2 linked regions of the Coturnix japonica genome follow. The protein of the gene in region 1 purifies or fractionates together with the protein of each later gene. This does not show direct contact. Links are inferred from orthologs where the notes say so. Each region holds a gene or a part of one and is shown on either strand. Other genes may lie near its edges.

Region 1 (6,109 bases):
AGGAAGAAGCGGAGTGGAAAAGTGACTTTTATTTGCAAATGCAGAAAGCTTTTGAGCAGGAGCTCCATGAAAGGCGCGTGCAAGAGGAGCAGGACAGGCTGCTGGCTCTGCAGCTGCAAAGGCAGTTCAACAAGGAGGAGAGGTTACTTAACCGACAGAAAGGATCTCCAGATGAATACCTTCTTCGTGCCAAAACACCTCAATCTGTGAAAGACTCTTCTAGAAAAGGAAGTTCTAAGATGGCAAAGGACTCAAAACAATCGAAAAAGCAGAGTGAAACAAATCACCACAAGGGTCGGAAAGGTTCTTGCGATGAAAACTGGCAGTCTCCTACCAGGGTCCGAATGAAATCACCCAGCAGTGGGAAAGTCTTGAATTGTGTTGTTAACACCAATGATTCAAATGATGTTCATTCAGTGCCTAAGAGAAGACAAAAGACAATCCTTCAGATGCTTAAAAGCCCTGAGTAGAACAGCAGAACCACAGGCACACGGTTACGTTAATCGGAATGAAAACCATGGTAATGTTTATCCCTGTGTCAGGCCAGGCTTCAATTAAAAAAGTTACGGAATTGATGGTTTTGAGGGTTGGGCCGCAAGAGTGACCAAAACTGACTATTAAAATGTACTGTGAATGTTGTTGAGAAGTTTAAACACCTTACTCCTCTAGACCTTAATATTTAGTCCTTTCTCGACTATAGCTTCTTTTCTAGGACTTGCATTTTCAAGCTGTTTTTTTGTTGGTTTTTTTTTCACGCTGGAAAGTAAATACTGTTATTGTTTGAGATTCAAAGTAACTGATGGTCCTAGAACGAGAATTCAGAGCCTTTGGTGGGGACTGTGTAATCCCCAGAGGAAGCAAAGAAGTGTGTCTGTATCTCTGGTTGTCTGACTGTGAGACTGAGGCTTTACGAGGCACAGGCACTGTTCTGTTAAACCAAAGGGTTGTGTTAAACTGAAGGACGTGACTGGAATGTGGTTTATTTGTTGAATTGCATTGTTTGCCTGGCAGTTAACAGGATTGTAACCAGATAAGCTAGTCTTGCAAAGGCATTTTCCCTCTCTCGCATCCTCTCACAGAGTAACCCCTTTCTTAGGCAAAGGGGAAAGAAAGGATCATTCTTCCACAGTCAGAGGCAGGGATCTCTCATAGATGCCAATGGCAGAAATGGTTGTGGGCTCGCATTTACTTCTGTTCATTTTTGTTTTCTTGTTGTTGGCAGCCTGTAACTTACACAGTCTTGCCTGCATTTACTGCTATTTAACTTTCATGTGCAAACTGACTCGAGTCTGATTCTAAGCACCTAATATTCAAAAATTATTAGTGCAGGAGACAGTTATGTTGGAGAAAGTAAAACCAAAAGGGGGAAAAGCCATTCGAGTTAACAGTATTGACTGTATTTAACTTCCAGCTGGCGTTCAGCTGCTCTGCCTGGCTGTAACTGTTGCTCCGTTGTTATTATTTTCTGTCTTCCAGTTGAGTTTGATAGTAAAATAATTCAAAAGAATTTCAGTTTGGATGTTCTGTGGAGCTGACAGCTCCAAGTTGAGGCCTTGGGAGCAGTTTGTGAGCTGCTAGTCAGCAGGTAGCGGCCCTGTTACATAGTTCTCTATTTTGCTATTGTGGAGCCCAGCTTTTGGCTTTTCTTTGGATGCAGCGATATATTTCTCAAGTGTATGTTGTTGGATGAGTGCAGAACAGCAGCTGAAACCCGTGTGCCCTTTGCTGAATAGCAGACGTTCAAGAAAGTGCACTTTGAGGTGTTGTGGATGATCCGTAGACTTGAACTCAGCTCTAGGAAACTTGTAACAGATGTTTTTCACGTCACCTTGATGGCACATCTCTGCTAACGTTGGGTTCCTCCTCAATAAGTGGAGAATTCAAAGAGCCTTCTTGAGAAAGCTATTACAGGTGACCTGCTGCAAATAGTTCATTATCTCCCATTGCTGCCTCAGTCGTAGCGCTGGAAGCCTGTTTGTTATCGACCCCTTTCTGTGTAATCCTTATTTCAGTTTGCTTTCCTGTCACCCAGGCAATCAGATGGAATCCGTTGTTGATTACAGTGTTCTTCAAGGCAGAAGTACTGACTGCCTTCTGTGCTTAACATACTTTTCCTGTCACGATGAGCATGCAATAAGTAAACTCTATTTCCAGAACAAGCCGAGTTTTGTGCCTAAGTCTCAATCCAACCCCGTCTTAAATCATCCCACTTGCTGTATCCGTTTGATTTTTCACTTGTTAGTAACTCGATGCCCGTCCCTCTGGTGCCCGTTCCCCCTCACCCCCCCCTCACACAGCCCGGTTCCCGCCATGCCGCCCCGCCCCGCACGGCGGGGCCGAGGAAGGGCGCGGGCGGGTTTCGCGCTTGCGCAGTGCGCGCGGGCCGGCGGCGTGCGTGTTGTTGTGCGGCGGCGGCAAGATGGCGGCGCACGGGGGCTCGGCGGCCTCCGCGGCGCTGAAAGGGTTAATCCAGCAGTTCACCGCCATCACGGGTGAGGCACACGGAAGGCCGGGCCCGGCGCGGCTCCGAGCCGCTTCTCGCTTCGTCGAGCGGCCGGGATGGAGGAGGAGGTGGAGGAGGAGGAGGAGGAGGAGGGCCGGGCGCGGTGAGGCGGGGGCCCGGCGGGGCGGGGGGCCGGGCCTGTCAGCGGGGCGGCGGGTGGGCGCGGAGCCCGCCCCGGGAAACGCGGCTCCGGAGCGTCGGGCAGCAAGACCCGCCGGACCGACAGCGGTTCGGAGAGCGGGACGGCGGCCGGCACCACGGCTGGGATAAGGGCCCGCATCGCTGAGCAGCGTCCTCTGGAAGTGACCGTGCGGAGCATCGCGGGGTCGGTACCGCGCTCAGCAGCGGGATGCGGCCTGGACACGGGGCGTGCTGCGGGCAGCGAGCGGGACGGCACCTGCACACCGCAATGCTGCGGGGTTACGGGGCGTGGGATCTGCTGACAGGACCCTCGCTAGTATGAAAGATGTGTCTGTGCTTACAGCGTGCCCCGGTGTGTGTCTGATGTTTTCATTCTCAGCAGTGCCCCAAGCACTGAGAGCCAAGCAGAGCTGTGCTGTTCGCCCAGCAGCCCTCTGCTCGTGTAGGTGGGTTATGGAGATGTCTAACCCTGCTCCTACGCTCCGAAACAAGAAAACAAGAGGCTACTGGGCTCTGCCCGCCCACTTCTGAAAGAGGGGTTTGAGGTTCTGTCTTGTTGTTGTAATAGGATGTAAGGTTCTGTTTAGAAGGGAGTTCTTGCGGAGCTGTCTGACCCTGTGGCGCAGTGACAGGTGCTGCACTACACACCCTGTGTCGTCAGCCTGCACCTCTGGTGTGACCCTGCTTTCCCAGGGGTGTACACTGGATGCTCCAAGCCCTGTGGTGCTGTGTAAGTGCGCAGAGCTACCCATGTTTGTGTGGAAAAGGTGAAACAAAACCCATCCTGCCATCTGCTTCCAGCACACCTGATGGTGTAGAATCACAGAGTCACTGCGCTTGGAAAAGACAATATAAACATCAAATAGAGCTGTCAGCCCATGCCTACTCACCCATAGTCCTCAAATATAGTTCTCAGCAGATGTTTTGTGATGCTGGTTTCCTTAGGACTGAGGAAGATTTGGTACATATATATTCTGGTCCTCCTGAATGAGCAGCGCAGGGTGGCTGTGCTCTTCTATTTTGATTAAGGTCCTCAAGCACAGCCAAGTACCACTGAGGTGCTCTTGTGGCAGGTTGGTTTGCAGTGGGTTTGTTTGGAAAAGCAGTTACTTTGGTCGACCTGGCTTTCTTTGTGATGTAATGTAATAGCTCAGGTCATTTAGTGTTGCTTTATCTCAGCAGACTCAGTGTGTGTTCAGCGTATCAATCTGTTTAATCTAAAGCTCCGAGGACTTCCTGGAAAATCTCAGAGACACCCAATGGAAGCAGGTTAAATGTGTTTGCTCAGAGTGGCGTTAGCTGTCATTCTGATGCTGGGGAAATGGAGTTTTCTTCATTTCAGTGAGTTGTGGTGAAGCTGGTAAGAATTATTACAGACCAAAAGCTGCTCCCAAACTGGTTCGGCTGCATTTTGCCACTTTTCTTCTACACCAGCTTTTCCATATTAAAATAGACTCTTTGGCAGCCTCTACCTATAGAAACTTAGTGTAGTAAATGGGCTCTTAAAAGGTTGGATGCAGGAGAGATTCATTTGGTGAAGGTGCTTTTGTTGTCTGTGTGGCTTTGAGGAAGCTTTAGAGGCAGACCCTGTAAGGGAGAACAACTAACAATTAACTGAGCTTCTGCTTGTTTGTTTTTGCCTTCTGGAGCACTCAGTGAAACAGGGAATCTTTAGTTTCTATCTTTACATATCTGTTAGAGGTGGGTAAAAACCTTTGGCACTGGGTATAGTATTCTCACTGTTAAAATATTAAATCAGTTGGTTGTTTTGTTTTTTTCCATATAACACAATAGAAGTCAAACTTAATAAGCAGAATTTTCTCCCGATGGAAAGGGGAAGTGTGGCTGTTGTTTCCTTTTCCCTTGAGGTGCGTGTTTGTCTCACCTCATAGTTGTGCCTTAGGGATAAATGGCACCTGCTCAACTGCTCTAATGGTCAGTGCCTTAAAAGAGAAAGCTGGTTAGCTGTTCCCGTTGCTTCTGATCAGAATGCTTTACAAAGAATGCTTCAATATATATTTGCTTGGCATTGCAGGTGCCAGTGAAAGCGTGGGAAAACATATGCTTGAAGCATGCAACAACAACCTGGAGATGGCTGTCACCATGTTTCTGGATGGTGGAGGCATAGCAGAGGAGCCCAGCACCAGCTCTGCAGCAGTGTCTGCAGTTCGACCACACACCGAGTACGTACTGCATAAAAATGAGTAGTCTGTCCTATAAGTTTCATAGTGTAAAGACAGATCAGTTAAAACACTTGTTCTTTCTTTGGACCTTCTGTCATCTCAGTGTAACATGTGCTTCTTCAATGATCTCATTTAATTGATTGCTTTGATATTTTTCTTAATAAATAAGTTTATCTTGCTGCACAAGCTGGTCTCTCTTGAGTGTGCTTCAGAAGTTTTCCATTGCATGCACATGCTGTTGTTGCAGGCATAGCTCGAGTCATTGAAGTGAGGATCCAGTGAAAAGTGGGATCTTCTGGCACATCAGTAACTTAATATTCAAGTTTTTGTTGGAATACTTTCCTTTTTATACTGGACACCCTTCAGGTGCTGGTCAGCTTAGTTTTACTTCTAGGAAGAGAGGAAAATAAGTATGCAAATACAAAATGGAGAATAAATAGCTTCACAACAGCAATCAAAAGATGTGGAGGCTAGTAGTAAGGTTAGTGCATCTTGCTGGTTGTACAAGTTACTGTTTGAAACCAAAGTGCAGAAAGTGCTAGATCTTAATGCATAATGTGCTGCATCCTCCTTCAGTGCCTTGAGTAGGAGTAGAGGATTCCTTGAGGTCTGTTTTGACTCCAGATCTCTGATTCTGTGCCATGGTGCAGCAGTGTCCTTAGCTGGTCCAGGCTGCAGGTGCATTTGGAACACAACATTTCATGGTTTATTTAATACTTAAACATTACTGTCTCTGATTTTCCTTTTCTCTTTGATAGGGATGAAGTACGAGCTCCAATTCCACAGAAACAGGAAATTTTAGTAGAGCCTGAGCCCTTGTTTGGAGGTAGGCTTGCATTCCTATTTCATTCTTTGTTTTCTTTAAATACCTTGAAATCATCTTCATATGATGAGAAAAACAAAATCTCGTGAACACGAGGAAAGCAGTGTGCCTCTTTTTGTTTGTGTTTTTGCCTTATTGCAGCTCTTCAGCCATCTAACATGCCTGCATGCTTGGAAATATACTGATGATTAAAACCTTACGCATTAGAGATGCTGTATTCCCAGTGGTGTTAATTTGCTAACTCGTTTTTCAGAGGACTTCTCTAGGCACCAGCCAGTTAGCAATACAGAGTATACATCTGTGCTCTTGGGGCTCAGAACCATGTGATGCTGCTGCAAAAATGTTCAGACTGATAGGGTGAAAGCTTGGGATTTGGCTGACAAGTGAAAATGGAGAGAACAAAAATGCGTGTTTGTTGAGGAGATCCAGAAAGAAGGGTTGAGCTGCGTGATTGCTTGT
Region 2 (5,279 bases), on another chromosome or scaffold:
ACTTTGAGTTTTCATATTGGATGCTGTTTGGAAGTCATGGTTTTTTTTCACTGTGCTGAACAGACCCAGGACCCAGTGTATCTGCTCGGGGAAACGTTAAGTGAATACATGTGTGTCATCCCACAGACACAAAGAAGAACAGATTGAACTTCTAATGCTTCTAATGCTACAACTCTCCCAGCACATGCCAGCATCACCCTGCAGCCCATCACCTTCAGAGACTTGCTGTGATGGTGGCTAAAATCAGAGGTGACAAAGCAAAGCATAGCGCAGGCTTCTGTTTTACTGGGGCAACCAAAAAACATCTCCATGCACAGAAGAGCAGGGAATCCTATGTTAAGAGTTTCCCTGTCGGCAGCACAAGGGGGGAGACAGAGATCCCCCCTTTATGCTGAATCACCTAGAATAACTTTCAGGATTTGGATTGTTGTGGTTCTGCACTGCTGCTTTCAGGCAACAGGACTTGGAGATTAAACACGTGAAACAAAAAAAAGCAATTGACAGATATTCCCTCAGCTGCAGGCAAAAAATGCTTTCTGGAGCAGAGAGGCGGGTGCTCCAGGTATGAGCATCAACTGAGATTCCTGCAGGGGACAGGGTAAATAGTTGAAAAGAAGATAACACAAAGAAGGAACAAAAATGTATTTTACTTGATGGAACAAGGCAAAGCCCTTGTTAAATAGGACAGATGGGGACCAAGACAACTGACTTCCTCTGGCAGAGCTGCATATTCCTCTTCCATTAACAAAAGATCATTTGTGTGTAATCAAGAGAGCTGGGGCAAGCTGAAACCTGTTTATACCTGTAGCCACAACTGTGACAAACTTGGATCCGAAATGACCGTCTGGAGAAAGGCGACAGATGTTGGGGTGCTGGTTCTGAAAGTTCCCAGCTGTGATGCACTCTTCTGCACTCAGATAATAAGTGTCCTGAGGGAAGAGCAGAAACGTCAATAAAAAGGCCAACACGATGCAGCCTAGACCCATTTCCCTGGTCTGTAGCCAAGGAAAACTACCAACACCCTAGTAAAACAAGCTTTCCTAGAAGCAGCAGAGACTAAGAATGTGACTTATCAGCTCTCCAGCCATCAGCCTGACTTTTGCCAGAACGACCATCCCACTTTTGGTTCCACCCACCTTTCCAGGCTCATTTTATTATGGTGTTTCATTTTCTAAAGGGATATCCCTGATTTCAGAATTACAGGTAACTGAGAAGGTCAGAGTTTCAGGACTCGAGCTACATGCCTCACAAAGCCCTGCCCACATCCTCTGACTCAACCACTTCTGCTTGCTGAACTTGCATGACACAGAAACTCTCTCTCCACTCAATTTTTCTTAAACCACGAGCATAATTTTCTTAAAGCAGAACAGGTGAAGGACTGCAGGCAGCTCTGCCATCTATCCAAACAGCAACAACCCCTCTAACGGTGCTCTTAGAGCTCCAGCTCCTTTTCCTTCAGCAGCTGAAACCCACACATCACAACAATTTCAGCCCCAGTGTCACCCCCAGCCCTTGACTCCCTGTGTTGGGCAGAGCCAGCAATCAGGTGATGAGACAAACCCTCGATACGAGTGGTGGTGATGAGTGACACCTTTCAGTCTCACCTTGTTCCTGCTGTACCGAACAGTGCCTTTCCGTGTGTCTTCAGAGACCAGATCAGTAAATATCCAGCCAACCTATAAAGCAGCGTTATGGAGAAAACTGCTTTAAAAAAAAGAAGGGAAAAAAAAAAGGAAGCCCAAACCCACAGAAGAGAGCTTATACATTTTCTCCTAGCAGGACAAGATGTTCTTGGCTCCTGGCGCAGCCTTGCTGCATGCTGCCTGAAGGAAATGGCTCTCCCAGCTGTGCTGGGCTCATTTGAATACGATTTCCAGGAGCAGCGTGCCAGCTGGCCAGCCGGGGGCACCTGCAGCTTTATGTTTCACTATGGAATATTTTTTCATGGAAAGATCTGGAGGCTGCAAGAGGTTTCTCAGCCGCTACCTCCTCCCACCCACAGCAAAAAGCATTTCCTATCGAGCATTCAGAGCAAAGCAGCATCAGAAGTGCCAGCAGATGACAAAGCAGCTCACATGATCTCATTTTGAAGCCTGCAGTCCCTAGTTAAGATAAAGCTCACATGCTCCCACTGGAGTGTGACTCAATCCAAATCAACCCGCTCCGTTCCAAAAAATACATTCCTGCTTTTTGCATTGTTTGCACATAGGACTATAGATGTGTACACACACACGCACCGCTGCATGAACCCTTCTACACGTGTGCTAAAAACAGCTCTGATCAGCCCCTCGTGACTGACTCCCAAAGCATTAACCCTTCAGGGGAAGGGTCAATGCTGCAGACCCCAGACAGACAAAAACCTGCACCCAGCAGTAAGCTGCGTGTTAAATCACATTGATTAAAAATATCTGGCGTGAGAAGCAAAGTTAAAGGATGGAAATAAACAACGCATACAGAAGCTTTGGTTCAGACACTGGAAAATGCTAAAGATCTTATCTTCAGAGAACAAAAGACCTCACCACAGATGTTTATAGTCTGCTGCACCGAGTCTCTTCTGATTTGCATGTTCTTTAGCAAGTCAATTCTTGTTTGTGTACGTCTCATTCCTAGCATTCACATGATACCAAATGATTTCCCAAACCACAAAAATATATCGGTACAGGTTTGAGAGACGTCAGCAAGCCAGCAGAGCCCAGTGCCTGTATGCCCTGATTGGATTACTGGCAGGCCACGGGCACATGGGGAACAGAGGACTGAGGCTCAGATGCTGGGGGACCTGAACCTCCAGCCAACATCCAGATTAGCTCGCCACAGCCTGTCTGAGCAGCACTGAGAGGCAGGACCTGCTGATGAGAATAAAAATCCAGCAGGAGCCTCCGCTCCTGGAAGCGGAACGCAGATTCTGCCAGAAGGAGGAATAAACTCAGAAGGCAACTCCAGCTACAGCTGTGCCAAATTAGCACTTGCTGGGGAGATGCTACTAGGAACAGCTCCTGTCAGAGGAGAAATAAAGGGAAAATAGTGGTTTTTTTCCTTCTTTGCTATTCTCTTTGATGTCACTCATGACAGAGGATTGCTGACTGCAGCTGAACAGCCCTGAATGCTCATCCTCACAAAAACATTTGTGGTTGCTTTTTTTCTTTCTTTAATAGACCTAGAAGGGTAAGAGCTACCAACACTTAAGCTAGATTTCATATGAACCCAAATGGTCTTCAGGAGCCCCACTGAGCTGAAGAGAACTGCTGGTGACTTTCTTCACTGCCATACAAAAGACACGTGATATCCAGCACCATCCTAACCTTTCTCAGTCCAAGCTTGGCAGCAATCTCATCCACAACCTCTGCTTTCGGATCTTCCAGGATCTCCAGGCTGTTCTGTGTACCGATCTGCACAAAGAAAATCTTGCTAGTAAAACAGAACAGGAAAATACACAGCACACGTAACCATCACCATGAGAAAGGCAGGGAATGGAAGAGCAGTTCTGCATTTTCCTTCAGCATTAGCTCTGACAGCTCTCACTCCAGAGACCTCTGTTACTCACAGCCTCATCCTGCAGGAGCTCTCCGGGTGGGCCTGCAAACCACGCAGGGGTTTATGAATGAAAGACTCTTGCTCAGCACTTACAAACAGGCTATCGCTGCTTCTGAGAGCTTTGGAAAAGGCAAGAGATTATATAATTTTCCAAAGCTCTCTTCAACCTGCCAGTCCTGCCCTGCCCTTTCATTTGTTGCAGTCTCTGAGCAGTACAGAGGCAGAAGTTCAGGGAATTCAGGGGCTGCCACGCAGGCCTGGAAAACACAACTCCATCTGAGTGTGCTTCAGAGGCGAGTTTTCTCATGTGGGGAGATGCTCTGCCAAGAAGCACAGCAGAGACTGCTTGCCAGCAAAGCAAAACTTCCTTGCTTTTGCTATGCACAAATAAACTACACAAACTTCCAAAGTGAGAATTTAACAGCAAGACCAAAACAGAGGGCATGGCTGCGTGGGTATTTGAAATAAGTAGAAGAGCTCACAAAAGGCTCTGTCTGCAGCTCTGTAACTCAGAGCTCAGCTTTTGGGCTGGCTGAGGTTGGACTCCAGAACCTGCCGGGGCTGTGGAAGCACTTGGTGGTGCCGTGCACCATCTAGTGGGGACTCAGCTGCTCCCACTCTGAGGTACCAATGTTACCCAATAAAGCAGAAGATGTGATTTCTGTCTACATAAGCTGCTTTAAGTTTTCCTGGAGAGCTGGTAAGAAATTAAAGCAAAGGCTAACCATTTTTTTGTTAGCATATAATTTGTTTTTCAATCGTACCATAACCTTGGAAATGGTAATCAGAGAACAGAGGAACATAAAAGATGATGCAAGAATAATAAAAAGCTAACCTGGGTTTTAACATTCTTTCAGTGGCAATAACTAGTGATGACATTAGCAACCAGAGGGCCATAAAAGTCATTCTCGTGGGACTTTTTTTCCTTATAGAGCTGCACTAGGAAACCCTGCATGAGATTACCCAAACAGAAAAGTGTTTCTTTGTTCCCCGATTATCTTTATGAGTCAACAGTGACGCCTGGGTACACAGCTTGTATTACCTGTGGGGGTTCATAGATGGCAGCCACCTCCGCCCTGATCCCCAGAGGGATGTCTTTGTGCTCCGTGTACCGTCCATACAAATACCCAAGATGTTGGTTTCCTGTCTTCCGCCAGAAGTCGAGGAAGCGATCTGCAATTGTGTGGTTCTCAAACATGATGTTGTCAACATGCCTGTATTTCTGTTTGACAAAGTTCAAGCGTCAGGCCATCCTCCACTGGGTCCAGCTCCTTCACCTATTGCCAACACCTTCCCCAGCTGCCCGGGATGCACGCAGCCCCTTACAGCTGAACCATGGTACCACAGGAATGGGGAATGCTGCCTCCCTCCCCTCTGCTTCAGCTTTCACCACCACTCTTTGGCCCAGCAAGCAGAACTCACCATGGGCTGGGCTGTGGGGAAGTGCTGAGCATCCCCAGAATCCCCTTAGCTTGGCTTCTTTACTAGGGCCCTTATCCCATGAGATTTTGCAACTAGAAGAGACAGCGAAATTTAAGAGGAATCAAATGAGAAACAGTGGGAGGGTTTTTAGGTCCCGTGAAAGAATAAAGAAGTGGAGATTCACTGCTAGTGGTGCCAGCTCAGATGTCTCACACTAAGACAAAACTGCTGAACCAGATACATTCTGGAGTCCTTTCTTCAAGGACTGAAGACCTTAACAGTCATTTCCTCATCATGTGCCAATACAAAGGCATCCTGCTCCAAGC

The links. The genes of interacting proteins can lie anywhere in the genome.
Region 2: the proteins of UBXN7 (region 1) and NPLOC4 purify together in Homo sapiens (affinity purification with mass spectrometry; 3 studies listed by BioGRID and IntAct, with this or other methods). This does not show direct contact. The link is inferred for Coturnix japonica from reciprocal best matches to the Homo sapiens genes UBXN7 and NPLOC4.

The regions. Positions count from the first base shown.
Region 1 is NC_029524.1:3,592,577-3,598,685, forward strand, and holds the start of UBXN7 (UBX domain-containing protein 7), read left to right. Parts: upstream 1-2,383; 5' UTR 2,384-2,419; coding exon 2,420-2,492; intron 2,493-3,534; exon of another isoform or gene 3,535-4,679; coding exon 4,680-4,827; intron 4,828-5,585; coding exon 5,586-5,653; intron 5,654-6,109. Other genes in the region: E3 ubiquitin-protein ligase RNF168, read left to right, coding at 1-470. UniProt on the Homo sapiens protein: Ubiquitin-binding adapter that links a subset of NEDD8-associated cullin ring ligases (CRLs) to the segregase VCP/p97, to regulate turnover of their ubiquitination substrates.
Region 2 is NC_029533.1:5,193,162-5,198,440, forward strand, and holds part of NPLOC4 (nuclear protein localization protein 4 homolog), read right to left. Parts: intron 4,754-5,279; coding exon 4,574-4,753; intron 3,387-4,573; coding exon 3,300-3,386; intron 1,677-3,299; coding exon 1,605-1,676; intron 930-1,604; coding exon 803-929; intron 1-802. UniProt on the Homo sapiens protein: The ternary complex containing UFD1, VCP and NPLOC4 binds ubiquitinated proteins and is necessary for the export of misfolded proteins from the ER to the cytoplasm, where they are degraded by the proteasome.